Linked DNA regions of Oryza sativa Japonica Group. The main gene of each other region encodes a partner of the protein of the gene in region 6 in a complex. Links are inferred from orthologs where the notes say so. Each region holds a gene or a part of one and is shown on either strand. Other genes may lie near its edges.

Region 1 (4,164 bases), on a different chromosome or scaffold from region 6:
CTGTTCTCAATGTAAGTCCCATGACCTACATGCTTCAACTGGGTTATGCACTTATGTTTCAGTATTGTCTTTTTGTTGAGGTTTGAAATACAGATCAAGAGATAATTGTGATTTGGTTGACCGTCTGGAGGTGTAGATAACATTCATAATGAATACTACTTCCTTTGTGCTCGAATGTCCTTCCAATGCACGGAATTGTACTTGACATCTTGTGTTTATTCTGTTTCTATGCAGTCCTTTGATCTGGCAACTATGAAGGAAAATGAAATGGATTTTACTTCAAGCTTTGAGCTGAGGCTCAGTGAAAGTGGTGTATCACAATCTGGAGTAACCTGGTGCTATGGCATTATATTATGGTTTGACACTGGCTTTACGAACCGATTCTGCAAGGAGAAGCCAGTCAACCTCTCCACCTCTCCTTTCTCCACACCGACTCACTGGTCTCAAACTATCTTCACCTTTGAAGAGCCCATCGCAATGGCAAAGGAGGAATCAGCCGTTGTCTCATCTGCGTCAGTTGGCACAGATGAGTGCCCAGCTGTGATGATCAGATCCCGCATCAGCATTGTGAGGGCCTCTGAGCACCGCAGCATAGACATATCGATTGAAACTACAGGAATCAGCTCAGATGGCAGGAAGCGTAGCTGGCCTGTTCAGATCTTCAACCTGTGAGCAAGGAGCCAAGGATACCTTTGGGTATAAATTTTGTTTCGTGCTTTGCTCCTCACTGGTTTTGAGCAAGGATACTACCCACAGCAAGTCTTAGCTTTTGATTGGGTCCTCAAATCTCAATTTCTGTACGCTGAAACAGAACGGCATCCCCACTGAAGTTTTGTGCAATGGTGAGCCTGAAAACAGGCCAGATTGAAGCGCTGTGGAATGGTCAGGGTGAAAAAGTTCATGGGATCGAGACTGAGTTGCAGTTTTTTTTTTGGCTATTTCTGCACGTGAACTGAAAGATATATCTTGTAGTGATGTTTGAGATATGTATCAGTATTTTACAATGATATCAGAATTCAGATTCATTTGGATACCAGTTCACTTCAGTTTCTGTAAGATGCTCGGTTGATGTGAACCTGAAGATCGCACTATCTTCTAATCGTCGGTGTGTCGGTAGAACAAATGTTACTCCTATTTTTGCTGCCTTGCCATAATCAACTGCAAAAAACTTGAACAAATTTCAGACTCTGTTTTCTTCTTGCAGAAACTCAAAGCAAATTTCAGACTAACCCGGTTTCGAAAAAACAAAACAAAAAAAAAATTCAGGCTATTAGCTAATCAGGCCTTGGGCCTTAGCATCTTCGGCCTCACAGGACAGCACGCGGCCATATCTACCTACCAAATCCCGAATCTCGAGGCAATCCGACGGCTGGTGATTGGCAACAAGGCCGCGAGAGGATTCCGATACCCTTCTCTCTCTCTCCGAGCTCGAATCCACCACCACCACCACCACCAATCGGAGCCACCGGAGAGCGGCGGCGCAGCAGACGGCGGCGGCTGCGGGGGGCGAGAGGCCGATTCGCCGGAGGAGAGAAGGAGAGAGAGAGAGAGATGGCGTTCACGATGCGCGCGGTGAAGGTGCCGCCGAACTCGGCGTCGCTGGAGGAGGCGCGGCACCGCGTGTTCGACTTCTTCAGGCAGGCGTGCCGCGCCATCCCCTCCATCATGGAGATCTACAACCTCGACGACGTCGTCACCCCGTCCCAGCTCCGCTCCACCATCGCCAAGGAGATCCGCAAGAACCAGGGCGTCACTAACCCCAAGGTCCCAACCTCGCACCCACCCCCATCGATTTCATCCGTCTTCCCGATTTCGTCGATCTGCGCCTCGTGAATGAGAATTCTCTAGTGGCTTAACCAACTGCTCGCCTGCTCTCTCCGATCTGGTCTCTTCTGGTCCTTGGGAGTTGATGATTTATCGGTGTTAGGTGCTGGATCGGTAGGTTTTGATTAACCTAGGATTTGATAGCCTCTTGTTTGCAGCAGGGGATTTAGACTAACCTTCTGCCTCAAGGACAGTAGTATTCCGGCAGGTTTGATGCTATGTGGGCAGTAAATTGTTTTCACCGATGGTTGGTCAATTTCTATATCTAGACATCTGGATATCATTTAGTGATCTACTTTCTGTGACATAGCACATGATTATCTGAACTTCATTGCTGCTTCCATGTTATATTTATACTACCAGTATCAACAATGCGATTCACATTTGTCGATGGTGGTAGTAGTAGCTAGGGATATCATCTGTACAATGCGGGCTCTCACAGTTAAGACAGTCTAATGAGGTTTTTGGTCTTTGCACAATCTTCTGATAGGTATCTTCTGGCATTTTAGTTTAGACTAGAGAGAGCGGTTTTGTCGGCTGGCCTCCTTTGCTTGTAAAAATTGAGAAAATTTGTCAGTTTAATTGAGCAAGAGTGCTTATGAATACGATTCAATGCACATAATATTAGATCCATACCACCTCTCCATGTACATGTTTCTAGATCCCCTGAAGAAACATTTTCTTTTGTTATGATTTGCATCTTTGTAGGCTAACTATGTTTGCTGGCTTCAATTTGAATTACACTCATTTGATTAGGCCCTTAGGAAGACTTCACCTGAAGCATGCACTTAAACTAAAAAATGTTAATGTCAGTAAAAGGGATCTATATTTTTATCTTGGATAATCCAAAGCTGCATCAGCTTGAGTTGCAAGGATCAGAGATTGCACGCGTTGATTTGATCCAATATTTGAAGAAACCTCAACTTTGTAACAAAACGCAGCAAATTCATGTTTTGTTTTTGGATACCTTTTGTCGTTTGTTAGATTAGAGTTGTTACGATCACATGAATACTATTGGGAATGCTTCTGTTCCATACCTCAGGTTTGGTCCAGTCCTTGCTCGTATTGCCCAGTTCTCCATTGTATCTGAGTGCAGTAAATTCAGATGAATGCTTCTTTTGATCAAACGCCAATTTGAATTCATTGATCATCACAATCTAAAATGATAAATTTCTCCCTCATACCCCCTGTTTTGGTGATTGTGTTGCATTTGGGATCCCTGTATTATGTTGCCCCTCTTTATGTTAAGTACATTTTCTACCAGTGCAGAATTATCTTGTTGTTTGTAGCTTCTCATGACGCATCACGAATGACCTGAAAATTTGGTCGTTCACATTTTCTTTTTGTCTCACTTACCTTAATCCTTACTGTATCAATGCCTCATCTAAGCTATTTTTGTTTGCAAACAGGTCATTGATATGCTCCTGTTTAAGGGGATGGAGGAGCTGGGCAACATCACCGAACACGCGAAGCAGCGCCATCACGTCATCGGGCAATATGTGGTCGGCCAAAAGGGACTGGTGCAGGATATGGAGAAAGACCAAGGGTCCTCAGACTTCCTGAAGAAATTCTACACTAGCAATTACTCCTAATCTGTGCTGCAAACTCCTCCTCCTTCAGTAATACCCGAGAAGTGATCTGAATAAGACGCTGAGAACCCACAGCTTTAATTGTTTTATCACTGGAATCTTTTTGTTATTCTGCTTGATCCTTCAATCATCTGCGCAGTGTGGCGCTGTTGCTAGTGAATTGTTTGTAACTTGTAGACTGTACTCTGCAAAGTTGATGTTCATGAGTTCATACCGTGTGTCAATGGGTTCGAACTCATGTACCCAGCACATGACCATCACTCGTTTGTCGTGAAGTCATTGATTCGATTAATCTGTAGCATAAAAGGTCATGGCCATGGAAACAAATAATAAGTGTTGCCGTTCTCTAATATACTCTTGAGTAGTTGTGACTTGTGAGGTATATTAAGAATTCAGATGGCATCAGATGATCAGTATTCAGGTGTCCCTGTCTGCTTAGCAATTCAAGTTAAAATGGCAAGGATAAGGGGATTAGAGAGTAGTTGTGAACAAGAAGTTAATATTGCAAAGGATAAGGGCATGAGAGAGTAGTTGCGAGCAAGGTTAAAATCTCGACTCTGTCATGCGAATTTATGATCCTAATTAAGATGCTTGATTCCACAATTTTACGTAGGTAGAATTTACGATTTCACGGTTTTAATGTATACGATTATATTATATGGTCTGTTTGGCACAGCTCAGCTCTATCCCTGGAGCTTAGCCAAACAATTCCAGCTCCATTAAAACTGGGAGTGGAGATATGTGAAGTTTT
Region 2 (3,949 bases), on a different chromosome or scaffold from region 6:
AAGGACTATCCATCACATATTTACACCTTTTTATTAAAAGCAGATCTTATCTCGAAGCAAACTGCCAAACTTGTTGTTATAAATAACTGATTTAAGATTTTAAGGAGGAAATCCGAGGTCTTGCATGTTCAACCGGTATGAACTCGTTTTATATTATTTTTTTTAAAAAAAAAGCTTAGGACTCTTTCGAATGTAGAAATTTTTTAGGATTTTCACATTTATTAGTTTAATTCCCGTATAAATCCTACATAACCCTTAACATGGAAATTCCGGCAGATAAAATCGCAAGCCTTCAAAGGCTAGAGAAAGCCATGCTAAATACCTGAAAAATCAAATATTTTTGTTACCTCAAAAGCTATCCTACAACCATAGGGCTACTAGTACCATGGTTTGTATCAGACTGAAAAAATCGTTGGAATATTTTAATCCTATTTGCGTAGAATGCACAATATAAGTGGTTGCTGTCTAAAGATAATACTCCTCCAGATGATGATAATAATAATAATCAACTTAATGGTCAAAATAATACAAACATGAACAAGTTTTAAACCTGACACTAGTGTCTACCAACATGAAAACTCGAATGTGAGCATTCATCGAGATAGTGCACGCCCATGCTTTGTAAACCCCTTGATGCCTCAACAAATCCGAAAATGTATAGTGATGTGAGCGTGCTTACTGCTGAGTTTGTGCACGTGCCAACGTTTTCTTTCTGAATGTTATAAGAACAATAAAAAGAAAAAATATGGCATTATTCTGTAATCATCAATCTGGGCCGTGCTTTCTTTATCAAGTGCATTACACCTGTCTCGTTCTTTTCTAATTAAAATACAGATTTTATATCAATTTTCGTCAACACATTTTTCAAATGGTTAAACGGTGCATTCCGTGCTTAAGACTTTCTGTATAGAAGTTGCTATAAAATATATAAAAAAATCTATTTTTAAATTTAAAATAATTAAAACTCAATTAATCATATGTTAATGATTTTTCTCGTTTTACAAGATTATAATCACATCGAACGGGGCCACATGCACAATGCAGTGCCGAAGTATGACCAGCCCAACCAATTGTGTAAATGGGCCTTATTGGGCCGGGCCTATTTCGAGAGATAACCTAAATCCATCACAAAAAGAAAAAAAAAACTTCGTCTCTTTCCTCCCTTCTCCCGAAATCCCTCGACCCTCGTGCAGACAGCTCCTCCTCCCCCATCGGCCATGGCGACCGCCGCGAGACGTCTGCTCCTCCCGGCGCTCCGCAAGTCCCTACCCGCGGCCAACGGCGCCGCGCGAGGCGTCTCCACGGAGAGGGCGGTCGGCGCCGCCGCCGTCGTCGGCAGCCACACCGCCAAGTGGATGCAGGTAACCCCCCACCTCGCCGCCCTACAGCCTTTCTCCGGGTGTGTCGGATCCCTGGTCCTCTCGCGAGCCTGATAACCTGCCCGGCCGCCCCCGCGTGTAGCGCTCCCCGATTCGGTGGGGGGGGGGGGTGGGGGGGGGGATCTAGTCTTCTTTAGGTTCATGTGGACGTGTGCGTTTATGGCTCTCGATTTTGCGTGCAATCGCTGTGTAGGCGTGTAGCTCGCGATGATCAATTCCATTTTCCCTATTTAGGTCAGCCTGGGCGCTTTAATTGATGGACATAGTCATGTATTTGTTTCTGCAAGTTGTAAGTGTTTTTGCCCCCCCCCCCCCCCCCCAATAGCTTTTCTTATGTTTTCTTGTTTAGATCTGAAGACCATGTTCAGGTTTGAAAGGTGTATTGCTTGTACGAGTGTATGTAAAGCATGTTGTAAATGGATTGCATGGAGTTTAGGCTGTTTAGGAAGGATGGTTTGGTTTTTAGGCACTGGGATTCTTTGTCATAATAACATTGCAGACAGATAAGGGTCTATGGGTTCATTTTCATATCTCTGTAAGATGCATACCCTGCATGCTCTACTGCCTTGATTCCTACAGTGGCACCATCCCTAGATTATGAGAGGAGTCCTGTTAAGTTATTTAACGATATCTAATTGCAGGAAAACACATACTACTGATTAGTGACAGCCTACTCAAATACTCCATGTTACCTTAAGCATGCCAACATAGGGTTTAGGTGGTTAATACATATCAACACAGCTCGTGACTCAGGAGTGGAACCGATGTTTTATTAGTGCAGTTGTCAATTTTTCATGCATCTTATTGGATGTTATCCTCCCCTGAAGGAAGGTACTGTTTGCTATAGGTTTGCAGACTCAAGTCACTCGACTGTCCTTAAATTAGTTGCGCTAGCCTCATCTGTAATATGCATGCTTATTCTCTCGTATTTAAGAGAACCGTTATCTTGATGAAATGTGCTTGCCTTGGTAGATAGTGGCATGACCTTATTGGGTAGTTCTCACAAGATGTGCATCATATGATTTTGTATCAAAGTAACTTATGTTCAGTCGGAAAATTACATATCCCCTTCAATTAATTATAATGTCACTCACAGGCTCACTGCCTACATTGTTTTGTCATGCTTTTAGTGTATATATTTTCACCCATTTGCTGAGTAGGCTTTAGATGGTTGGAATTTACTTGAACTTCTGCGTGGATAGGCTGGTGTCTTGGTCCATCCCAGCCCATCCAGAAAAGGCCTAAATGATGAATATCCATTTGAGTTAGGCTTTCAGTAAACCAGGAGCCAGCAAACCAATAATAGGTGATGAGCCACCAGTTTAATTGAGTAAAGATTATTGTTCTGATTGCACTAGGCAGGATGGTGGTGCCTAGTCAAACCATACACAAACAGTGAATAGGTGAATCATTGCCTTTTAAAACAGTGTTAAAGACTTATGTTCGTTGTTGCACTGAGTAAGAATCTATAAATCATCTGCGACGCAAGTGATCCCCATATCCTCAAAATTTTTAGGATTTGTATATATACCAGGTTCAGACCATGATAAAGTTTATGAGTTGGTTATGCAATATTTGCACCTTAGCACTTGTTGAATCATGAGCTCATTTTCTAAATTATGTTCATTCATTTACTTTATTCATTGCAGGACACAAGCAAGAAGTCCCCAATGGAATTGATCAACGCAGTACCTCCGATCAAGGTTGAAGGACGAATTGCTGCTTGTGATGGGCGTCAGGATAAAGGTGAGCCTTGCAAAACTAGTCGTATATATATATTCTTGTATTTGCGCTTTGGCTGTATTGTTGCTTCCAAACTATACCTATGAGGCAATCTTCTGCAGGCTGACCTGTTCATATTTTGCTACAGGTCGTGAAACTGGTTCCCTCGGCCATCCGATCGAATATATCTGCCTTGACCTGGACCAGCCTGCTGTATGCAAGTACTGTGGTCTCCGTTTTGTTCAAGATCACCATCACTGAGAAGACAAGATGCAGTCCTTCACCACACTGAAATTTGGAATTGAATGTGTGTATTTGGTTTAAAATGTTCCAGTCAGCGTGTCATGTATTCTGCCTGATGGCAAGATGATGATATCTTTGACGATCATCGTACTTTGAATGACATAATAATGCCCGCTTTAATAACAGTGGATTTCTTTTTCTTTAGTTGGCATCTGTTGCATTTTCTGAGTCTATGCAATTTCTGTATCTAATTACCCGCTCTGCGAATCTGACAACCTGAGATCAAAATTGAATCAATTGCGAAACTAGTTTAGTTATAGGATTTCCAGTTTTACCTGGCCCAAATATTTTACTTATTCTGTCATTACCTGATCCAGATAATTTCTTTGCCAGATTCATTACGGTTATCTGTGTTTTCCTCTGTTTTTCAGACTTGTGACGGATGCAGGTTAGTTCAAACACTCCAGACCGACACTTCTGTGTTGCATATAAAGATGGACGTTGTAAAAAAAAAAAAAGGAAAAAAAAGCATCGAACTGAAAAGTGAAAATATTGCTAAGACTCCTCGCCAAAAAAAAAAAAGGGAAAAAGGAAAATTGTTGCTA
Region 3 (4,126 bases), on a different chromosome or scaffold from region 6:
AAAATCGTAAAAGTTGTAATGGCGTAGATCCAATTAACCCTTAATAAAATATCACTTAACCCATAAAATATAATTAGGAGAACGCTACACATCAGACATTTGATATTTTGCAAAAAAAATCAGACGGTGTTTCACCACATATAAAAAAAATATTTCAGATGTTTCATCACTCGTTGAATAATGTTTCACTAGAAAATGTTTCGGATGTTTCATTACTCGATGAGAAATGTTTCACCACTTGGTAAAAAATGTTTCAATTAGATAAAACAATGAAAAAACATTACTTGCAACATCAATACTCTACTCTGCAATATTGAATAGAACACATTGTACATCATGTGCAACATCCAATAAAACGAGGATGAAACACACGAATAAAATAGAGTGTAACAAACATATACAAAAGATTGCAATGCAACATCAAATCAAAACAAAATGAAACACCTTAATACAACAGAGTGCAACAAGCTTAACAGTAGAATGCAACATCCCTAAAACTCCAACAAAACAAACCTAGCTACCTCCATCTTCTTCAACTCCGGTCGTCGGCCCCCGAGGAAACCCACCTCCGTCGACTTCTTCTTCAACTCCGGTTGCCGGCCCTCTTCTTCTTCAACTCCGGCCGCCACCCCCCGACACCTACATCTTCTTCTTCAGCTCCGGCTGCCATCCCCTGACATCTCCATCTTCTTCTTCAACTTCGGTAAGCCGTGCCTCCGCCTCTCCGATGGACGGCGCCATGGTGCGACCTCACCGCTGTCGTCCTCTGCCTCGTCCACGAACGCCTCCCATGCCTCGTCGATTGGCGCCGCATGGCCCGCGTATGCCACACCTGGCGCACTGCCGTCAAGGGGGAGCAGAGCAGAAACTGCCGGAGCGCTGGCTCCCATGGATTCTCATATCGTCTTGCCCTCCGTCGCTGCCGTTGTGTGGCCAACACTGGTGAAATAGCAAGAGAGAAGAAATTAAAGAGAGAGAAAAGAAGGAATGTGTGGTGGAGATGTAGCTGTGTGTGTGGATAAGGACGACGTTCGTCCGTCCGGAAGCATTTTTCAGATAAATATCTTTACACCACCATGAATTGTATGGGACAATCGGGCGATAAATTAAGATGGTGAAAGGAAAATACTCTGTTTGCTTACAGACCAAACCCTAATGACCCCACAATCGTCCCACACCAAGCTCACAAGTCCCAACCGTCGCTTGGCGATCGGACGGCGTGGATCCAATCCAACGAGACCCTCCCCCAACCCTTGTCCGCCGCGTCTCTCGCCGTCGGTCGCATCGCACCCCCGCGAATCCCCCCCCACAGGCCAACAGCAAAGCAGAGGCGAAGGGAAGAAGAAGAAGAAGAAGCGGCGGCGGCGGCGGCCATGGCGTGGCGTGCGAACCTCTCCCGGGGCGTGAAGGAGATCCGCTTCCTCTTCTGCCAATCCTCCCCCGCCAGCGCCCCCGCGAGGTACCGTCCGCTCCCCCGTCTCCCCTTTCTCTCTCTAGGGTCCTAGACCCGATCTGAAGAAGAACCGCGGCGATTCCTTCCTTTCGCAGGGAGTTCGTGAAGAAGAACTACGGCGACATCAAGGCGCGCAACCCGTCCCTCCCCGTCCTCATCCGCGAGTGCTCCGGCGTCGAGCCCCAGCTGTGGGCGCGCTACGGTACGCGTTCTTTTTTTTTTTCCTCTCTTCTCCATGGAATCCGAGATCCTCTGAGCCGGTTCTTGAACTTTTTGTTCTTATATCTTTTGCGGCGTGAAATGTTAGGTTAGGATACCGGATCGTGTTGTCTTTTAGAGTTGGGCATCATAGGTTACATTGCTTATGTAAAATACTAGAATGTGTGAATGCTTGAGAAGGAATGGCACATTAGGTTGATTGCGATCTGAATGCTTTCTTTAAGGAAAAATATTTATAGAGAAGCATTAGGTTTGTCCAATGATATAATGCTAACACAATGTTGTTAAAAAATGGCCAAGATTTGGAGAAGGAGAAAAACAGGGGACGACAATGTGGACTAGCTGTAGAGTTATTGTTGTGATAGTAAGATCATCTGTTCAAGTCCACACTTTCCTGTGGGTTCTACTAATTAAAAACCTAAGATACATGGTTTCTCTCATATGTTCTTGGTATTTTTAGACAAGAAAAACATTCCATGACAATTGTGAGTGTTACTTCTATTCTGCTTGATCTGCCACAGACAGCCAAATGGTATTGTGCGTGCAGATGTTCAAATGAACTACTACATGCACTGGATCTGGATTTGGTATAACTTACTACAAATTACAGACATAGTGACAACTTCTAACTCAAGGCATAAACACAAAAAAAAACTGAATAGTCTACATGACTGTGAAGAAAATCTAGAGAAGCTTAGGGGATGTTTGGCCAACTTTGGGTTAAGACCAGCTCACAGGATTGACGGCTTAAAAGCCCAAAGCTCGCTTTATTTTGAAAATCACACACACACACACAAACTCTTTGTTGGGACTTGGGATCTTACTTATGGTCCATATGGATTCTTCCAATATTATTACGATGATACTCTGGGTATATTAAGGTTCCCTCTTAAACACCGGCATTTGTTTGGATGAATATAAATAAAAGATTGGGATAGATGGAAGAGTACCCATATGGAGTTGTCTATGTGAGCAGGTTGAATTGGTTGAACATAATGTGACAATACCTAGGGAACTAGGAAACACTCAGTTGTAGGCACCTACAGGTGGTGGAGGTGAGGAGAGGTAAGATAGGGAGGTTGCCTTATAGTTTATAGCCCAAAGCTAGTCTAACCTAGCAAACAAGGAGAAAATAAATATTTTCTGTGAGGATAAATTTCCTTTTACGCATTGGGATCGCTAAGATGGTTAGGATTATAAACTTATCATCCATCTTACCCAACCACGGCCAAAGGCATTTTCTTGTTCTCCTAATCCTAAGAGCTGGTCGTTCTTATTTCCAAGGGAACTGGACAATATTGCCAATAAGCTTATGTTAAAACTTGACCAAAGATCTCCTATCCTAACTCGATTAATCAATAACCATGGTTCAATAAGGTGCTAGGCACTAGTGGGCTGGCGCTTACCGCCTAGGGATGCCTAGCCCGAACGTCACAAGTAAATTCCAAGCAATTGGTGAGCATATTACATAAAACTTGAACAGTGGAGTACTAAAATAGCAGCACAAGAGCCCCCAGGGGTACTTAGCTGCCTAATGAACCATCTAATGCCTAATCAGGTTGGCAACTGGGTACCTAGAGCCAACTTTTGGAACACTGTCAATAACATTTACTGTAACCATTTCTTATGAACTTGATCATCAGTTTACTCGACAGTACTATCAACACCATCACCCTTCCTGTTACGTATACTCAATGGTGCAATCATCCTAGGGAAATCTGATTGGTCGTAACTGTCCATTGTACAAGGAAGTATCATGGCTTGTCAAAGCCACACTTTTTTTTAGAACACGCAGGAGATCTGCGTATCATTTCATTGAGATAGAGGAAAAAAGGTGGATGGCGTTAGAGATAAACTCCGACACCCACCCACCCGGAAGTACAACACCAACAAAACACACCCACAAGAAGCAAAACGAACCTAGTGCACTAGTACGACAGCCCTAGACAAAAGATCACGAAGCTTAGAAGCTCCTGGTAGGCACCAAAGGGCGCCCTCACTTGCAATGGCTTGAAGGACATCAGCCATGCTTGGGGTAGTGCCATTAAAAACACAGTTGTTTCTATGCTTCCAAATCTCCCAAGCGACCAAGATAATAAAGGAGTTGAGCCCCTTCTTCTCACTAGCAGGCAATCCCCTTATTGTCCTTGACCACCAACTGGCGAACCTAGTAGTGCCCTGGCTTGGAAAGTTAGAGTAGCCAAGCCGTTGGAGAACCAAACACCACACTTGCTGACTAAACACACAAGTGACTAGAATGTAATTAATAGTTTGCTGAAGCGGAACCTGGTTAGTAAGGCCGCAATGTTTTTAAACATAGAAACATCCCAAGTATATACTCAAATATATACATATGGACTCTATTCTGATAGAAATATAAAACAATATTTAATTTGGTGATGACAACTATAATATGGAGTGTTATTGATCAATTTGTAAAAACCAGATATAATC
Region 4 (4,068 bases), on a different chromosome or scaffold from region 6:
CAAATATAAAGGCTCGTGGTATGCCAATGAATACTGCACCATAGCCCCCCAAAAGCATTCCTACTGTCGAGAACATATTTTATACGCAAATAATATACGAGTTACAAATTGTTTGAAAAAGCTCTAGTTTGCCACAGAAATAAAATCAAAGTTCCATGTGTCCTAACTAAAATTACAAGTACAACAAAAATCGGGAACAACAGATTTACTCCTTGAGTTATACGAAGGATTTTTAGAGATTTTATTTTTCAAAATTGAAACATCGACAAGTGATTCTGAAGACAAAGATTTAAGGCAAATAACATTAAATCATATGGCACATTGGATGCAAGGCAATCTGAAAATAAAAGACCATGCACCCATAAATGGACCAAATTTCCTTCAGAAACCTGACCATCAGAATTCAGAACACTATAAAAGAACATTCCTTACTTTAACCTCTAAATTGTAAAGAATTAAGAATCAAATGATCCTATACATTCAAGAGAGAATATGCAATTAAATCCTGCTCCAATATATCCTAATATTTCAGAAATAAGTATAGCCTTATTTTTTAAACCTGATGTTAAGTATCAGGAATGGATAGACAGATAGTAAGAACTCACCACATAATCCCATCCATGCTTTTCAGCAAATGCCTTTGCTGAATCTGCACTGTCAAACGTAAGCCCTGCTTCACCAACATTAGCATATGGATCTCCAGTAGATGTCCATCCCATTAATGGGTTCTCCCACCTATTATTCACACAAATGTTAGAAGGGGAAAAAGCGGCAGCAACTGAAATAGTAATATCTAATTGTATGCTAGAATGCTATATAATAAGGAGGTGATACATAAAGCTAAATGAAGTAAATGCATGAGACATAAAAGAAATGAAATAGACTAAGTACACACTGTTTGACCAAACCAAGGTGACCACCTCAATGAGAGGTCAAATGCATCAGTTGCAAGGCTTTCATTGTACAAAAAAAAGGGGGGGTAATCTCACGTTAAAGGAAAAAAAGAAACAGACTTCAATCGTCAATGAATTCTTCTGTTATGAATGTAAATCAAGTTTTAATATGAGACTATTTGTTTTCATTTGATATATTATTGAGGCAGTTCACCAAACAGCAACACAGGGTTTGAGGTAAATAATTCATGAAAATGAATCAACAATAACCAATAAAACAAAACTGGAAACATACTTTTGGGTTGACACAAAGTTGATTTTCCACCTCCCGACTTTGCCTGAACCCTGCTGAGATGCAGTCCTAGCGGGTGAATATATTACAACCTGCAAATACACAAGGATAAGTTGATCATGTCTTCCCAGCTAGGTAGTTGAAAAGCATACAGTGAGTCTTAAAAGAACAAAAGTGGCAGCAACAAAAATCATATTTTCTTTACAGTATAAATATTTAAACCTATCTGAATAACACAATCCTGTCGTAGGCCATTTAGAAGGCCGTTTACTGTATAAACACTAAAAGGTGGGGGAGACCACTTGTTAACAGTCTAATGATCTACAAGAACATAGATCACAATCAAAATATTTTCTAGGGCTCACTCTGTATAATAAATCTGCAAAAACATAAGATCTATTGATGTGTAGGCATCCTCTCTCTGCAGACAAACATAAGGTTGATAATACCATGAAAAATGTGACTGAAGTGGTGCTATCAGCATTGGGCCATATCATAAGATGCTTCTAAGCTCTTTGAAGTTAAGACGGATCTTTGAAACAACAGAAGAATTGATCATCAAACAATATTCGTATTAACGAGATTATGTTGTAGAGAAAACTATTTCATGGAAGCTCTGTTCCTCAGAAGTCAGAACAAGAAACTACCACTCTACAAGTAGGCCTCTACATGGATTTTGAGGTAATTACAAGAACTATGAAATGGTATGAAACAGACATTAGTTCATAGTCCAACAAGTTATCTAAATTCAATAGCTAAGCATTGCTAGCAATTTCATCTTTCTTTGTATGCAGTTAGTTCTATCAAATGTATTTTTAAGTTTGATGTACACCAAGAAAATGGATAAATAATAAGCATCCTAGCATCATCTAAACTCTGGTATGTACAGTTCTCTAACACCAATACTGTCAACTCTAATCACAAACAATTTGAAAGGTAAGAACATACACCTATATACATTCAGTCATTCACAGTACATAAACCAAATCAGGATAATTTGATCAAACTCTGTTGCCTCCAGCCCTCCACTAACATAATCTAAAGTGGGAGAACCCAACCTGGAGAGCAGCACATTCCTCCCAAGTTCTAAACGCAGTTCAAACCACACAAGCGTAAAACATCATCACCAAATTCGCATTTCTATCCACTCCACGATTCGAACGTCTACTAGCGATAGCACTGTAGTCCGTACGACGAGTTCACGACCCGACGCCTCCAGGCTCTATGCCTCTATCCCTAAACACGAGTAACGACCAAAACAACCCACCAAACCTGGACATCTCGAGCGATTCCCACACGGATCCGCGAGGGCTAGCCAATCTATCGCCACTACATAAATCAGAGGTAAGGTCAGCGAAGCACCGCACCTTGCGGCGGAGGTGCTCCTCGGGGATGCCGGAGACCATGCCGATCTCGCCTGGCTTGATCTCGACGAGGGCGTCGGACGCCGCCGCGGAGAGCATCCGCGCGGGCGCGGGGGACGGCGAGAGGAGCGTGCGCCCCAGGGAGGGGAGGCTCCGCCGGAGCGGGGCGGCCATCTCGTCGGAGCCGTACGCCGGTGAGGCGGATGGTGGAGGAGAGAAGGGGCGGACGAGAAGGCCGAAGGGGAAACACCGAGAGAGAGAGAGAGAGAGCACTTCAGAACTTGGGAGAAGAGACGGCTGGACCGAGGATATGTTGGAAGCAGCTCATGTTGGGCCAATCTTCTCGGCCCAGTGTTGTGGGATCCGATTGGTTTATGGGCCGGGCCTTGCGGCCCAGACTGGTGCGAATTCGATTTGTTTCTGTGTGCTGGGCCCAGTTATGGTCCAGTGGGTGATCTGCAGCCTTGGAGTTGAAGGCCCATACCGAGGTTAGACTAGCTCGTTGGGTTTTGGTCCAGATGAACCACTGACTTATCTGGGCCGGCAATGTTATATTGGGCTGCCTCTGGAATAATTCTTGATGGCCCTTTTGATAATTTATAGAATTCATTTTTCAGTTCCGTTATTTCAACTACACCGTGATGAAGTTCATCAAGAGCATAATCACCCATAATAAGTGTATTCAGATAATTTAATACACCATTTGGTCGTGAATATTTGATGGTTAGGCCGGACAATATTTGGATGGCAAATTTTACTACAAAACATCTAAATTTCGTGTAATTTGCTGATAGACATCGAAAAAACATTCACAAATGAAAGACATCTAAAAATACTAGTAATTTGTTAGAGAACAATATCGACTCAATTAAAAAGATAAATTCTTGAGAAAGACAAGAATGCCCCTAGAATCACATGCTTCAAACATAACGTTAAAGTACGAATTTAGAAATTATGCAACTCCAAATTTAGCATCACCCCAAGTACATCACTAGTATACGTGATATTTTATCTTCACCCTAGTCTCAGTTCAAAATCTTTTGACCGTGGGGGCATCCTTGTCTTTTTTAAGAACTTTTCTTTTCAATTGAGCCGAAAGTGTCATTTAGCAAATTATCAGTTTTTTAAGAGTGTCTTTCAGCCGTGACACGTTTTTATGATTTCTATCAACAAACACAAATTTTGAGTGTCCTATAGTTAACTTTACCTATTTGGATCTTACTTTTGAAACTTTAACTATCAATAGTCTTTGAAATGCTTAGTTTAAAAACAAAAGACTTGGTAGTATCAATGTTTTATGCCCATAATATAGACTAATTAAATTTTATAAACTTAATACTAATTGGCCGAAACTTGTTTTAAACGTTAACTATCTAGAAAACGAGGGAGTAAGTCTTTTGTATTTCGCCTAAGAATGAAAAGTGATTAACATTGTGTAGGAGGACAAATACGTATGACTATGATCACATGAAGTTCTGAAAAAAAAAAGATCACATGAAAATGCAAGATTACATCTCTA
Region 5 (4,221 bases), on a different chromosome or scaffold from region 6:
CGCCAGCGTCGTCTTCGTCGTGTTCCCGTCCACCCGCCACGGGATCGGCTACCCGCCGGCGAAGCCCGCCACGGCGTCGCTGGCGTCGCTGTAGGCGGCGAGCCCGATTAGTCGATTTGCATTGCCATGCAGGCATGTGCTTCCTTTTTATGGGTTGTGTTTTTTTAAATATTTGCACGTGTGCATATGTGTTCTGTCTGATGCTTTTGTTCGCATTTGTTCATCTGTCTGTTTGTGACCTAATAAGGCCAAGAGCTAGTTTGATCTCGTTGATTTGCCTCATCTTTGTGCAGTTTATGACTTGTTATATTCCATCGCAATGGATGAATCCGTGGGGAACTATATGATAAACTTGGCAAACATTTATGAGTTTTTCATCTGAATTGAATGTCCGCACGATTATATTAGCGAAAATGTTCAGTAAGAACTCTATGAATGCTGTAGTTAGCATTCGTGCTTAGAGCATGAAAAATGGTAGTTCGATCTTGTTGATTTGCCTCATATTGCGCAGTTCATGACTTATAGGGATGGTTTGGTTTGGGGGTCTAAATTAGCCTTACCAATATTTGACAATTTTAATAGCGTTTAGTGTCTATTTGGTTTGGAGTCAAATTTTGGCATGCCTAAGAAAATAAGTCATTTAAATAGTTAATTTAGGCTATTTTGACTTCAATCCAAACACAACTTTGCCTTACCAAAATTATGCATGCCAAAATTTGCTAAAATTTAGCATTGACAAAAATTGGTAAGGCTAATTTAGGCCACAAAACAAACCAGCCTATATTGATGTGGAAATCTTTAATTGAAATGGATGAATCTGTGGGAAAGCAGATGATAAATTTGGCAAACATATATAAATTCATCTGAATATTGCAAGGTAGTTAGCATGCATGCTTACTAGAGCATGACAAAATGGTAGCACCAAGAATAAAATTATTTGCAACGAGGTCCGTCCTCGCCGCCGGCGGCCGGTGAGCTCGAACACGCGGTGGCCCCGGAGCTCCGGCAGTTTTGTCTGCTCCGACGAGACGATCTGGCCGGTGGAGACGTTCGGGACGCCGTGGCGCCTGTGGCCGACCAACGCCGGGGTTGGAAACCGGACGTAGCCGGTGAGGCGGTGACGTCACCCGTTGAGGCCCAACTAATAATATGGGCCGGAAGTTCGCCACAGCACCGTCCCGGCCCAACTAGCATTACGGGCCTCATATGGGCCAATACCAAACTACGGCAGGCCGCACCGTCACGGCCCAACTAATAATACGGGCTGGAAGTTCCCCACAACGGCCCAACTAGTATTATGGGCCAAGCTCCGCTCCGGCCCAATAGCTAGCACTCCAGGTCGGAGGGAGCAGCGCGTCCGTGTGTTGGCCTCACGCTCGCTGCCTCTCCTCTTGGCCCGGAGCTCACCCACGCACGCAGCCGTCTCGTCTCCCTTCTTCTCTCTCCTCTCCTCTCTTCTCCGGCACACCACACCCCAATCCTCCCCCGATCTCCCCAATCCGAGAGCTCCGGAGGAGCAGCGCGGAGGCGGAGATGGCGCTGCGGCGAGCGCTGCTCAGATCTGCCGAGATCTCCCCCGATCGCAAGGTCCGAATCCCCGCCCTTCTCCACTCTCCTCCTTCCCCCCCATCTCTCTCCGGTCTGGATCCCCCAACCACGAGGGGCGCGAACGCTGTTACCGCCTTTGCGAGAATCTGAGAGGAGTGCGCGTAGCGGGTTTGAGCTGTGGGAGGGTGGAGGAGGGTTTGCACCAGTCGATGTGTGTTGGTGGTGCGCGCATGGCGACGAATCTCTTCTTCTTCCGGGAGTAGAGGATAGGTCGAGGGGAGAGGAGTAACCGATGTAGAGCATGGAATGCCGATGGACAGTTAGGAGGGGCTCCATGTCCGTCTCTTTTGCATTTCGTATTAGTTCTGTAGGGATTTCTGGCTGTAAAGTGTTTACGACTTGATGCTTAGGATCGAGTTTCAGTTTGTTGCGGATGTGGTTTCTTGTTATGTCGTGGATACTCGGAGCATGCCGTAAATTGCTTGGATAGGCCATTCAAAATCTCATTTGTGAAAACCGAAAATGACCATGCAGTTGCAGACTAGTTACTACCTCTTTGTATTCGGTATTGCTGATGAAAACATGTGCTACACTCCTTTGCTTGATTGAAATAGAGAACAATAATTCAAAAGCTCGTTTTTGAACTGAAGATGACCATTCAGTTACAGGCTTGTTGCTACCTCTTTGTATTCAATATTGCTGATGAAAACATGTGCTGCACTCCTTTACTTGATTGAAACGCGAAACGATCTTTACTCTTTCTACTATATTAGTGTTTCCCTGATGCCCCGAGCGGAATACCAGTATTGTGGTTATCTTATTTCAATAGATTAAACAAACATGGTGCATTTATGAATATGCTACATTCTGTAGGGATATAAATGTGTTTGATATTGGTATTTCGTGGCTTCTCCTTTGGGTACAACTAAGAACACAACAAATGATACTTCACCTCAAAGTGATACTATCTTTTATGCCTTTCGTAGGCTTACTTAGTTTTTACTTTGCATATAAAACCACTACTACAAATAGGAAAATCGTATTGCAGATACTGAAAACCTGTCCTTTATCAGGACAGGTATGCTCTATGCTGCAATGAGATTATCAAAAACACCAACTTGCTGCCAACTGAGCATTTGATCTTTTCTCTTGTTACTTAGATACTTCTAAAATAATGCTCCAACATTGTAGGCACCTGCTGGGCTTATATATAATTCATGTTTCACTTATGGGCTGATATATTTGAACTTGATGTATTTATTTTGGTTTCTAAATCTGCAAAATTGTTCCCATTCTATTCGTTGATTTACCATTTACCTGCAGCAGCAAGTTTGAGTTGAAAGTAGAGATCCTTGTCACCATGTTCTAATTACTCTATTCTAGTTCACTTAACTAGTTAAAAACTGAAGGCAAGAGCATCAGAATTCTGTATTTCTGATCATTTCTTGATGTTCATGTTGTTCTTAATTTTGCTTCTTTCAACACTTGCTTGGATACTTAGTCAGCTTTCAAATGAAGATTACTTTAGTCTTTTGCTTTTGACAAGTATTGGCGTATTGTAGTAAAGTAACTACAAACTTTTTTTTGTCCTGAATCACATCTCATGGATCAAGCTGTGATAACAAATTGGTTTTTTTTTTCTTGTCAGGCTGCACTTGAGTACCTCCATTATCTATCGAGAGCACAGCCTACTCGTTCTCTAACAGGTGCTGGCCTTTATTCTGCTGGCAAATCATTCAGCACTCAGGCTGCTACTACATCAAGCACACCACAACCTCCACCACCACCTCCACCTCCGGAGAAGACTCACTTTGGTGACCTCAAAGATGAGGACCGCATTTTTACCAACCTCTATGGTCAGCATGACCCTTTCCTGAAAGGTGCAATGAAGAGGGGTGACTGGCATAGAACCAAGGATTTGGTGCTTAAAGGGGCAGACTGGATAGTGAATGAAATGAAGAAATCGGGACTTCGAGGGCGTGGAGGTGCAGGATTCCCTTCTGGGCTTAAATGGTCCTTCATGCCAAAGGTATCTGATGGACGCCCTTCTTATCTTGTTGTTAATGCTGATGAGAGTGAGCCAGGAACTTGCAAGGACAGAGAAATCATGCGTCATGACCCCCACAAGCTTCTGGAAGGCTGTTTGATTGCTGGAGTTGGGATGAGGGCATCGGCTGCTTACATCTACATTAGAGGTGAATATGTGAATGAGCGTCTCAACCTTTTGAAAGCTCGGGAGGAAGCATACGCAGCAGGTCTTCTTGGTAAGAATGCTTGTGGATCTGGTTATGACTTTGATGTGCATATACATTTTGGTGCTGGTGCCTACATTTGTGGTGAAGAGACTGCCCTACTGGAAAGTCTCGAAGGCAAGCAAGGTAAACCAAGGTTGAAGCCTCCTTTCCCTGCCAATGCTGGCCTATATGGCTGCCCCACAACTGTCACAAATGTTGAAACAGTGGCTGTGTCTCCAACAATTCTCAGGCGTGGTCCAGAATGGTTTGCAAGCTTTGGACGCAAGAATAACTCGGGAACTAAACTATTCTGTGTCTCAGGTCATGTGAACAAACCTTGCACTGTCGAGGAGGAAATGAGCATACCTCTTAAGGAATTGATTGAAAAGCACTGTGGAGGTGTGAGAGGAGGATGGGACAACCTGCTTGCAATTATTCC
Region 6 (3,944 bases):
AACTGCATAGTGCTAGAGATAAGCCGCCACAATGCTAAAAATGAGGCAATGCAATTACACAGCATTTCTTGGAGAAGTGAAGAATTCAAGAAAAATTGGCAGTAAATAATAGCCACAGGTAAGGTATAGTCAAGATTTTACCTGTGTACCAACCAAAAGGAAGACATCAGCTTTCTCAAGCCCAGCAATGCTAGTATTCATTAGGTAGTTAGAACGTAGATCCGCAGGAGGACTTGGACCATTTCCTTCACAAAGCACCTTATCCGAACCCATTTTGTTAACAAAATCTTTCAGTGCCATCATGGACTCTGCATCAGAAAGTTTACCAGCAACCCCAGTGATTTCTTCTGGTTTAACTTGTTGCAAAACCTCAGCAACAACTGCGAGAGCATCCCGCCATGTCACTGCCTTAAACCTGCCATCAGTACCACGGATCATGGGGTCGTTTAGTCTTTGCCTCTTCAGACCATCATAACAAAACCGTGTTTTGTCAGATATCCATTCCTCATTGATATCCTGCAAGTATCACGAAAACAGGAAGCTTACTCAGTGTTTATTTCAGACAGATGTGACATAACAGACGAAGGGAAAAAGTTTCATCAACACGCTGTTGAACATCCACAAGCTAGAATGAGGACAACTAATGTCCAAACGACCACACTGTAATTCCTTAAACATGTTTACTGAGTAGAAGTGTGTACAACACGTTTACTGAGTTAGAAGTGTGTACAACACGTTTATTTATCATCAGTGTTACTATGTACACAGCTGAAATTGGGAATGAATTGATCAATATGAGAAACATTACAAGATGTCCATATCTTTTAGCTCTAGGATCCGGACTGAGACAAGAAACAGTAAGGTGCATTACGAAAAATGATCCATTCATTTGTCTGTGGCTTGACTAATCAAAGAAAAACAGAAATACTCTACTAACATAGCAAAGAGAAATTTACCGAGTGAGGTGGCTTACGGCAAAAAGGAAACATGACACTGCCTCATGCATGCAATAAAGGCAAATGTAATCATAGGCATACAATAGGTACTATTCCTACTCCCTAGAACACATGACCACAACCAAATGATCCGATGATCCTAATGTAGATCATTACCAGCAAAAATCATAGAATAAGTCAAATTTACAACAGAAGTGGACAATAAGCGAACCTCATTGAGACGTGGAACGATACGCATAACTTCAGGACCTCTGCTGTCAACTCTAATGTTTGAACCTACTGCATCAGTAACATCAATAGTTTCAGTGCCCTTCAGCTCCCAGTTCCTAGCTTTAAATGCAAATGGCTTGGATGTAAGGGCTCCAACTGGGCAGATATCAATAACATTTCCAGAGAGTTCACTTGTCATAAGTTTCTCCACATATGTTCCAATTTCTTCACCACTGCCACGACCTAACATACCCAGGTCTTGAACACCAGCAACCTCACTAGCAAATCTGACGCACCTGCATTTTTCAAGAAATACAAAGTTACAAACCGGCCAAGGGTAGCTTGAAGAAGCAGCCAGACAATATTTTGTTTTGATATAAGATGATAAGCTACCACAGCATGAAAATATATCAGGAACATGTTTGGTCTCAAAGTTTGAACTTATCAAGTTTGTACAGACAGCTCCTAAATCTGTTGTCCAAGAACATAGTACTCACAGGAAGCAGAGGGAGCAGACAATAGACAAAACTGAACAGCAGTAAACCTCTTTAAGTGGATACTCATTCAAATCTACTGAAAAGCAAAAAAAAAAACATTACCTTGTACATTGGATGCAACGGGTCATCACTGTCTTCACCAATGGGCCCAAATTCTTGTCCACAACGGACCGCTTCATCTCAGTGAACCGACCACGGTCAGCCCCAAATGCCATAGACTGATCCTGGAGATCACACTCCCCACCCTGATCACAGATTGGGCAGTCCAGCGGATGATTCATCAACAGGAACTCCATGACACCCTCCCTGGCTTTCTTTGCTACTGGCGTGTTTGTCTTAATCTTCATCCCTATTACAACAAGGCGCTCCAACGTTAAGAACTCCTGCAAATCCTACTAGATAAACGCACACACTCTACTAATCATTCAATTAGTCCAACTATCACTAGCCAATATAGACTACAGGCAAATCTACACAAAGATGGATCCGAGAGACTAAGGCATTAACATTTTGCAAACCACACCAACATTGTCCGTTTCAAAACCCAATTCAACAGAGAGTAATGGCCGCGAAGCGCGACGCCGCGTCCGCATCGAACTGCTCACCTGGAAGCGCGGGCATGGCGCAGGAGGCGACGGGCTTGGGCGACTTCTCGACCTCGACGAGGCACATGCGGCAGTTGCCGGCGATGGAGAGACGGCTGTGGTAGCAGAACCGCGGGATGTCGACGCCGGCGACCTCGCAGGCCTGGAGCACGGTGAACCCCTTGGGGATCCGCACGGCGTGCCCGTCCACGAACACCTCGAGCGCGTCCTCCGGGTTGCTGGGGAGCTCCACCCGCGCCCCTCCCACGGGCTCCCTGGGGGGCGGCGTCTCCGGGTCCGCGGGCGCCACCGCCGCGCCCGCCTCCGGCGACCCCGCCGCCGCCGTCGGCGAGATCCAGCGGCACGACGCGGCGACCGCGGGCGGGGGAGGAGCGCGCGAGCGCAGGTACGGGCTGGAGTAGCGGATCGCCCTCGCGAAGAAGGCCATGGCGGCGACGGATGCGGCGGCGACGGCTGCGGCGGCGGCGATGGGATCGCGGGGAGGTGGGAGAGGGGGGGGGAGCCTCCTGCCCTTGGCTGGTGCGGCGAGGTTGGAGGAGATGGATTTGTGAGAGAGATCCTCTCGTACCTTCGGTGCCACCGCTCCTGTGTCACTGACATGTGGGTCCATGGCTCGTCGGGCCCACGTGTCAGTGACGGAGTAAGATTGAGGGGAGATGCGGAGCGAGGTGAGGCGGGTCTCTCGAGTGTGTGTGGTGTGGTGGTGGCCGCTGCTACGTGTCCCCCGAGGTTTTGGTCAAGGTAAGGTGCGGTGTGAGACTGCATGTGGGGCCGGAACGCAGGGAGAGGGGTGGGGTGCGGGATGTGTAGGGTGGGGCCCGGATGGCAGTATATGCTTGGGCGTCAACGGGGGAAATGGGCCGGAGCCGGACTCCCCCAAAGTGGAGACCCAGCACAGTTTGATGTGGTTGGTTCTCTTCTGTCCATTTTGGATGTACATATTTAACCCACGCTATTCTTTTTCTAACCTGCACAAAAGATAGTACGACATTTCGTATTTGGTATAGCAAAAACAATTATAACAAAAACCTCATTGCTGAGAAGAAAAAAAATCGACAGCTGACACATCTAACTCCATTCACACCTTTGGGCTAAAGAGGATGAGAATGAACGAGAAGATGCCGCCCATCAACAAGGGTTATGTGTACTTCACGCCACAATTGAAGGTTTGGTTGAAATTGGAATAATGTGATGAAAAAGTTGGAATTTTATGTGTGTAAAAAGTTTTGATGTGATGAAAAAGTTGAAAGTTTGAAAGAGATATTTCGGAACTAAACCCAGCGAAGGCCATCTTGTACCAACTAGCCGTCACCACAAGAGGACAATCGGAGTGAGACTTGTACACTCGAGCAAGGACCAATGCCTGTTTATGTCAATTGAAGTCCTCGATTGCTTAAGCGGCAGCTGATGATGTGTCAAAGGATTATCTCCTTTTGTTTTCCAAATATTCTACCCGGTGTCGATTGCTAGTTTGCTACCCCTATTGAAGTCTCTTTTTTTCCCTTCTTCTTGATGATATGACACCGGCCGCCAATGTCACCTTCTCTTTCTCAGCACATAACAAACAGCTGCCTAAACAGTATTTAGGCCTTAATAAAATGATCAAAGCAGTACAGTTGCGTCATGGCGTGCTGCATTCTTAAAACGAGTAAAGTATAATCCAACAAGTGACACGC
Region 7 (4,191 bases), on a different chromosome or scaffold from region 6:
GCCGAAGTCGTCGTACTCTACGATCTCCGTTGGTCGTGAGTCGACACCGGGGGAGCTGAGGTAGCCGTCCAACTGTTTCGTCGAAACCGTGCCGAGAGGCTGGAGTATGACACCGACTTCCCTAGAGCTAGACTGGATCGGGGCCAGGGCGGATCCCGCCTAGACCTACGGGGAGATGACGCTCTTGTGGTGAAAACGACAGCCAAATCGTTGAGGAGTTTCATCAGGATTGGCGGATAGGCTCTATTGTCTTCATCGGGTCGTGTTGGAGTAGATTGGATCTCGTCCGAGTGGTTTGGGGCCAACTCGGTTGAGATGATCTTGGGGTAGATCTCGGCCAAGTTTGGGGTACGAACGGGGCGGAAACCTGGTCTCTTCCCGACTGGTTCGAATCCGAGTCAAGAAGAGAAATCTTGCCGAAGTCGTTGGTGAAGAAGTTGAGGCTGCCGAACCGGAACGCCTGCCCGGGAGGGAAGACGAAGTCGTCGATGCCGGAGACGAAACCCATCGCACTAATCGGCGAAGAACTTGACGCTACCCCTATCTGGCGCGCCAATTGTCGAAACAAGATTTTGGCAATACTAAAAGGGGGTGGCTATCAAGCTGGAAAAGTGGATGGGTTGAGAAACAAAGAATTTTATACTGGTTCAGGCCTTCTTAACAAGAAGTAATACCCTACTCCTGTCCGGGGATTGATTTGCCGAGTGTATTATTGATCGTATGATCTGGGAGCAGATCGTGCCCTAAGAGGCACCTGGACCCCTCCTTATATAGGGGAAGGGGTCCGTATTATAAAATACAGTCCATATCCCTAACGGAATAGGTAGTTACAGATAAGATTCAATCTTAACCGACTAAGATCCCGGGTATTTCCTTAACATACAAGTTTGGAATTTAACCCAAGTCCCTTTAAAGATATTCTATCTATACATGGCACCCCATACCCAGTCGGATTATAAATGCCGTGTTGGTATGGGGTATCCATAATCTCCACAAAATTGGAATAATGTGACGGAAAAGTTGAAAGTTTGTGTGTAGGAAAGTTTTGATGTGATGGAAAAGTTGAAAGTTTGGAACTAAACTCGGCCTATAATATATAGGACGATTCATTTTGCTTGAAGATTGGTGATCTACCGGTATATTTCCTCCGTACTAAAATAAACAATCCAGTATGAAGTATGATATATCAGAATCCTATTGTTACGAAATCCGGACAGTAGATCGTTATAATTGCCCAACCAAAAAAAAAAAGATCGTTATAATTGCCAGTACACGAAGGAATTATTACTATTGGGCCGATTGGGTCAATAAGCCCATGAGAGCCCACTGGGCCGGTGCTGCTGACGTCACGCCGAGCTACTTACCTCCGCGAGCGGCCACAACTCCGCTCCCCTCCCCCCTCTTCGCCTGAGTCGAGTCGCCTCCCCCACCGCCGGCCAACCATGCTGCCGCCGGCCGCCCGCCTCGCGGCCCGCCGCCTCCTAGGGCTCGCGACCTCCTCCGCCTCGGAATCGGCCGCGGCGCGACGCTTGTCCCGTTCTCCGGTCAGTGCCCCCCTCCCCCTCCTCCAAATGCCTCTGTATCTCCTCGCTGTTCGTCGGCGGAGCTTTGCCGTCCTGATCTCTCCCTCCGGGGGCAACGTCTCGTTGCAGATCTCCTACGCCGCCGCGGGCTGCTCCTCCAGGCTGTTCTCCACGGCGCTTAACTACGTACGTGAGGCGCCTCCCCCTTCCCTCGGATCCACCCCCTACCCTCTTCCCTGATCTGTCTGTTTTGTCTGAGGATGATAATGAGTCGGATTTGTGGGTTTGCTTGTTGTGCAGCACCTCGATTCGCCGGAAAACAACCCCGACATGCCGTGGGAGTTCACGGAGGCCAACATGAAGAAGGTGCTGTTGTTCGTCTCGTTCATTCATTTCCCTGTGATTTATGTTTTGGATTGGAACAGTGGCTGGTTTTGGAGTAGTTGTGGCAGAATTTGTTCAGTTTTGTTTTCGGATGTTCAGAAATGGCTGTTAGGGTACCATTTTATTCAGGACTATTAGATAATAATATAATCTTACGTTGGAACTGGTTGCTGGTTATTTGAGAAGGGGAAACGTTATCTGTCATGTAAAACCTTTAGAAATGTGCAAATCTGCAAATGTCCAAATGTAATAGAGACGTGGGGTATAGTGTTCTATTCCTTTGACATGGGATTTAGGTTTTGTGAATACGGTTTATATCAATTGTATCAGCTATTTTGGTTATCTGGCCTAAAATCTCTATTTCAATAACTAATTCAGGTTAATGAGATATTGTCTCACTATCCAAGCAACTACAAGCAGTCTGGTATTATTCCAATGCTTGATCTTGCCCAGCAGCAGCATGGTGGATGGGTGCCAGTTGCAGCAATGAATGCTGTAAGTCCCTTTTTTATGAGCTTTCGATGATCAACTGTTTTCCGCCTTTAATGTGCTATATCCTGTTTTCAATACTTCAATTTTCAGAAAGTGATGTACCTCAACATTTGTTAGTTGTTACAACCCACGTTAGCTATAGTTATATTGGACTTGCTTAGCAGACATTCATAAATCAAAACCTTATTGCACTGGCCTTGTTTCTGTTCACTTCTTCGTCCTACTGAAGATGGGTGACACTAGGAAATTAGGAGCCTTAATAGTAAGAGGCATTGGAGAATGGGGGTTGGCAATCACAAAAGAAAAAGTTCTTGTCAGCATATCAGTTGACATATTTATATAATTATAATTACAATTGAGTTAATCTCCTCAGGACTAGGACTATTACAATAACATTGCTACTGGGAGTGTTATAGCTTATGTTACATTTTAGATATTTTGTACATAGACCCAACCACCATTCCACCACCACTGTGCTCACAAAAAGCATTTCTGACAATACTATTTTCATGTCTTGGACTTTCAGATTGCTAAGATCGTTGAAGTTGCACCAATCAGAGTATATGAAGTTGCTACATTTTACACAATGTTTAACCGGACTAAGGTATCTTTGCATGACTTAGTATTTTGTACTTGTTAATCCCTCCACTAGCATCTTTTCACCCTATTTTGCCATGTAGGTGGGTAAATATCACCTTTTGGTGTGTGGAACCACACCTTGCATGATTCGTGGTTCACGTGAAATTGAAGAAGCCTTGTTAGAACATCTTGGAGTTAAACGGAATGGTTTGTATTATTCACATAACTTATCCTATCAACTAAGAATAACACTTCCTGATTTGTTACCACAAACGGTCTTCGAGCATGTGTTTCTCTTGCTATCTCTGTGATAGCATTAACATTTTTCTTTCATTTGCAGAGGTGACCAGTGATGGTTTATTTTCTGTTGGAGAAATGGAGTGCATGGTAACTTCGAGATCTATAATTTTCTGTCATTTTGGATGCTTGCAAATAGGTGTTCTAGTTGAGTTAAGTGTTTAACTATAGCCAATAGGAATGGTCTGTAGGATTTTGTCAGTGAATGATTCAGTACTCTAATGAAAAAACATAAGTACAAGGCAACTTTTTATTCAGCTTTCTGTTATATGTTCACAGGGCTGCTGTGTGAATGCTCCCATGATTGCTGTGGCCGATTATTCTAAAGGTTCAGAGGGTTACACATACAACTATTATGTAAGTATACACATTGATGCATCCGATTATCTATTGTTGATGACTTATGCTAGTACACGCGGTGGAAATTTTAGTAGAAACATCACAGCATTAGTAAGAATTAGCAGCTGGTGCCCACTCGTGTTAGTTCATGTTTATGCACAAAATGAAACATTGTCAACTGAAGAATATAAACTTGCATGTTATAGGATGCTGGGCCCCTGGGTTTCTATACTTCTTAGCAGGCGTCTTTGGAGAAATAATGCTAACATAGCTACATTTTTTTGCTAAACTTCCATGCTATAGCAGTACTGTGGCACTGAAAGCACTAATGCCAACAGAGTAACAAAAGACGAGTGGATAAAACTTAACAAAACCTGCCTGCCTTTTGCTGAGAGAGGAAGAAAAGACTTATTTGTGTACTGTAACTGAGCATTTCCATTTCCCCTTTTCAGGAGGACCTCACTCCTAAACGAGTTGTTGAGATCGTCGAGATGCTGAAAAGAGGAGAAACCCCTCCTGTAAGCTTTGCTCTTGAACGAAATAATTCTTTTGATATTTCTAGCGACAAGTTTTACTC

What was found.
Region 1: the proteins of NADH dehydrogenase [ubiquinone] iron-sulfur protein 1, mitochondrial (region 6) and NADH dehydrogenase [ubiquinone] 1 alpha subcomplex subunit 6 are in contact, whole or in part, in a cryo-EM structure (PDB 8BED), measured with the Arabidopsis thaliana proteins. The link is inferred for Oryza sativa Japonica Group from reciprocal best matches to the Arabidopsis thaliana genes EMB1467 and AT3G12260. Residues at the interface, in NP_568550.1 of Arabidopsis thaliana: Trp361, Arg362, Leu365, Ser621, Pro645, Thr646, Ala650, Arg651, Asp652, Trp654, Lys655, Ile656, Arg658, Ala659, Glu662, Val663, Asn671; in NP_566416.1 of Arabidopsis thaliana: Lys120, Thr121, Phe123, Leu124, Phe127, Tyr128, Thr129, Ser130, Asn131, Tyr132, Phe133.
Region 2: the proteins of NADH dehydrogenase [ubiquinone] iron-sulfur protein 1, mitochondrial (region 6) and NADH dehydrogenase [ubiquinone] iron-sulfur protein 6, mitochondrial are in contact, whole or in part, in a cryo-EM structure (PDB 8BED), measured with the Arabidopsis thaliana proteins. The link is inferred for Oryza sativa Japonica Group from reciprocal best matches to the Arabidopsis thaliana genes EMB1467 and AT3G03070. Residues at the interface, in NP_568550.1 of Arabidopsis thaliana: Pro167, Leu168, Asp169, Cys170, Pro171, Ile172, Met198, Lys199, Arg200, Ser201, Val202, Val203, Asp204, Val214; in NP_566191.1 of Arabidopsis thaliana: Ile69, Ala71, Pro83, Ile84, Glu85, Phe86, Ile87, Cys88, Asp90, Leu91, Lys98, Tyr99.
Region 3: the proteins of NADH dehydrogenase [ubiquinone] iron-sulfur protein 1, mitochondrial (region 6) and NADH dehydrogenase [ubiquinone] 1 alpha subcomplex subunit 2 are in contact, whole or in part, in a cryo-EM structure (PDB 8BED), measured with the Arabidopsis thaliana proteins. The link is inferred for Oryza sativa Japonica Group from reciprocal best matches to the Arabidopsis thaliana genes EMB1467 and AT5G47890. Residues at the interface, in NP_568550.1 of Arabidopsis thaliana: Lys397, Asn401, Arg402, Met403, Gly404, Asp406, Asp418, Ala419, Asp420, Leu421, Arg422, Tyr425, Leu563, Asp564, Gly566, Gln570, Arg679, Lys681, Ser682, Val683, Pro685, Asn686, His689, Glu692, Glu694, Pro695, Ala696, Ala697, Phe698, Ser701; in NP_199600.1 of Arabidopsis thaliana: Lys12, Glu13, Arg15, Leu17, Leu18, Gln20, Arg29, Val32, Glu33, Tyr36, Lys37, Lys40, Ser41, Lys45, Leu46, Pro47, Ile48, Leu49, Ile50, Arg51, Glu52, Cys53, Ser54, Val56, Trp61, Arg63, Met66, Gly67, Glu69.
Region 4: the proteins of NADH dehydrogenase [ubiquinone] iron-sulfur protein 1, mitochondrial (region 6) and NADH dehydrogenase [ubiquinone] iron-sulfur protein 4, mitochondrial are in contact, whole or in part, in a cryo-EM structure (PDB 7AR8), measured with the Arabidopsis thaliana proteins. The link is inferred for Oryza sativa Japonica Group from reciprocal best matches to the Arabidopsis thaliana genes EMB1467 and FRO1. Residues at the interface, in NP_568550.1 of Arabidopsis thaliana: Gly61, Gly62, Ala63, Arg64, Val65, His66, Lys87, Gly88, Phe89, Thr90, Gln93, Glu96, Val97, Asp101, Arg104, Tyr107, His108, Ser109, Leu111, Ser112, Ile113, Ala135, Gln175, Glu178, Cys179, Asp180, Asp183, Asp266, Lys288, Ala289; in NP_201560.1 of Arabidopsis thaliana: Ile55, Tyr57, Ser58, Pro59, Ala60, Arg61, Thr62, Ala63, Thr64, Gln65, Ser66, Ser68, Leu71, Val79, Thr81, Leu82, Lys83, Glu85, Thr92, Asp103, Lys126, Lys128, Lys129, Asn131, Thr132, Pro133, Leu134, Leu135, Lys136, Val137.
Region 5: the proteins of NADH dehydrogenase [ubiquinone] iron-sulfur protein 1, mitochondrial (region 6) and NADH dehydrogenase [ubiquinone] flavoprotein 1, mitochondrial are in contact, whole or in part, in a cryo-EM structure (PDB 7AQR), measured with the Arabidopsis thaliana proteins. The link is inferred for Oryza sativa Japonica Group from reciprocal best matches to the Arabidopsis thaliana genes EMB1467 and CI51. Residues at the interface, in NP_568550.1 of Arabidopsis thaliana: Gly115, Asn116, Cys117, Arg118, Leu121, Lys129, Pro130, Ala135, Met136, Pro137, Lys153, Ala154, Glu156, Gly157, Val158, Glu160, Phe161, Leu162, Met164, Asn165, Arg194, Phe195, Glu197, Met198, Arg200, Ile219, Gln220, Ile239, Gly241, Arg242; in NP_196470.1 of Arabidopsis thaliana: Gly225, Ala226, Gln243, Lys245, Leu248, Pro250, His399, Glu400, Ser401, Cys402, Gly403, Gln404, Cys405, Thr406, Pro407, Arg409, Glu410, Gly411, Trp414, Met417, Ile418, Arg421, Met434, Glu437, Val438, Lys440, Gln441, Ile442, Gly444, His445.
Region 7: the proteins of NADH dehydrogenase [ubiquinone] iron-sulfur protein 1, mitochondrial (region 6) and NADH dehydrogenase [ubiquinone] flavoprotein 2, mitochondrial are in contact, whole or in part, in a cryo-EM structure (PDB 8BED), measured with the Arabidopsis thaliana proteins. The link is inferred for Oryza sativa Japonica Group from reciprocal best matches to the Arabidopsis thaliana genes EMB1467 and AT4G02580. Residues at the interface, in NP_568550.1 of Arabidopsis thaliana: Val203, Lys205, Val225, Ser229, Gln235, Asp236, Leu237, Gly238, Ile239, Leu240, Gly241, Arg242, Gly245, Glu246, Glu247, Gly249, Thr250, Tyr251, Val252, Glu253; in NP_567244.1 of Arabidopsis thaliana: Asn33, Tyr34, His35, Leu36, Val90, Met93, Ala103, Ile105, Arg106, Tyr108, Glu109, Thr112, Phe113, Tyr114, Ser115, Arg119.

What each region holds. Positions count from the first base shown.
Region 1 is NC_089041.1:26,863,243-26,867,406, forward strand, and holds NADH dehydrogenase [ubiquinone] 1 alpha subcomplex subunit 6, read left to right. Parts: upstream 1-1,364; 5' UTR 1,365-1,551; coding exon 1,552-1,764; intron 1,765-3,233; coding exon 3,234-3,416; 3' UTR 3,417-3,795; downstream 3,796-4,164. Other genes in the region: probable protein arginine N-methyltransferase 3, read left to right, coding at 1-11, 235-672. UniProt on the Arabidopsis thaliana protein: Accessory subunit of the mitochondrial membrane respiratory chain NADH dehydrogenase (Complex I), that is believed to be not involved in catalysis. Complex I functions in the transfer of electrons from NADH to the respiratory chain.
Region 2 is NC_089042.1:3,659,159-3,663,107, forward strand, and holds NADH dehydrogenase [ubiquinone] iron-sulfur protein 6, mitochondrial, read left to right. Parts: upstream 1-1,149; 5' UTR 1,150-1,217; coding exon 1,218-1,361; intron 1,362-3,028; coding exon 3,029-3,125; intron 3,126-3,249; coding exon 3,250-3,362; 3' UTR 3,363-3,548; downstream 3,549-3,949. UniProt on the Arabidopsis thaliana protein: Accessory subunit of the mitochondrial membrane respiratory chain NADH dehydrogenase (Complex I), that is believed not to be involved in catalysis. Complex I functions in the transfer of electrons from NADH to the respiratory chain.
Region 3 is NC_089038.1:14,301,477-14,305,602, reverse strand, and holds the start of NADH dehydrogenase [ubiquinone] 1 alpha subcomplex subunit 2, read left to right. Parts: upstream 1-1,326; 5' UTR 1,327-1,373; coding exon 1,374-1,459; intron 1,460-1,548; coding exon 1,549-1,655; intron 1,656-4,126. UniProt on the Arabidopsis thaliana protein: Accessory subunit of the mitochondrial membrane respiratory chain NADH dehydrogenase (Complex I), that is believed not to be involved in catalysis. Complex I functions in the transfer of electrons from NADH to the respiratory chain.
Region 4 is NC_089041.1:24,023,868-24,027,935, forward strand, and holds the start of NADH dehydrogenase [ubiquinone] iron-sulfur protein 4, mitochondrial, read right to left. Parts: upstream 2,801-4,068; 5' UTR 2,724-2,800; coding exon 2,553-2,723; intron 1,278-2,552; coding exon 1,189-1,277; intron 736-1,188; coding exon 606-735; intron 1-605.
Region 5 is NC_089041.1:27,139,177-27,143,397, forward strand, and holds the start of NADH dehydrogenase [ubiquinone] flavoprotein 1, mitochondrial, read left to right. Parts: upstream 1-1,421; 5' UTR 1,422-1,533; coding exon 1,534-1,587; intron 1,588-3,196; coding exon 3,197-4,221. Other genes in the region: protein DMP2, read left to right, coding at 1-94. UniProt on the Arabidopsis thaliana protein: Core subunit of the mitochondrial membrane respiratory chain NADH dehydrogenase (Complex I) that is believed to belong to the minimal assembly required for catalysis. Complex I functions in the transfer of electrons from NADH to the respiratory chain.
Region 6 is NC_089037.1:29,731,586-29,735,529, forward strand, and holds the start of NADH dehydrogenase [ubiquinone] iron-sulfur protein 1, mitochondrial, read right to left. Parts: upstream 2,801-3,944; 5' UTR 2,696-2,800; coding exon 2,269-2,695; intron 2,013-2,268; coding exon 1,766-2,012; intron 1,463-1,765; coding exon 1,168-1,462; intron 517-1,167; coding exon 142-516; intron 1-141.
Region 7 is NC_089039.1:25,329,404-25,333,594, forward strand, and holds the start of NADH dehydrogenase [ubiquinone] flavoprotein 2, mitochondrial, read left to right. Parts: upstream 1-1,391; 5' UTR 1,392-1,442; coding exon 1,443-1,544; intron 1,545-1,652; coding exon 1,653-1,709; intron 1,710-1,823; coding exon 1,824-1,889; intron 1,890-2,285; coding exon 2,286-2,402; intron 2,403-2,925; coding exon 2,926-3,003; intron 3,004-3,079; coding exon 3,080-3,185; intron 3,186-3,318; coding exon 3,319-3,365; intron 3,366-3,554; coding exon 3,555-3,632; intron 3,633-4,066; coding exon 4,067-4,132; intron 4,133-4,191. UniProt on the Arabidopsis thaliana protein: Core subunit of the mitochondrial membrane respiratory chain NADH dehydrogenase (Complex I) that is believed to belong to the minimal assembly required for catalysis. Complex I functions in the transfer of electrons from NADH to the respiratory chain.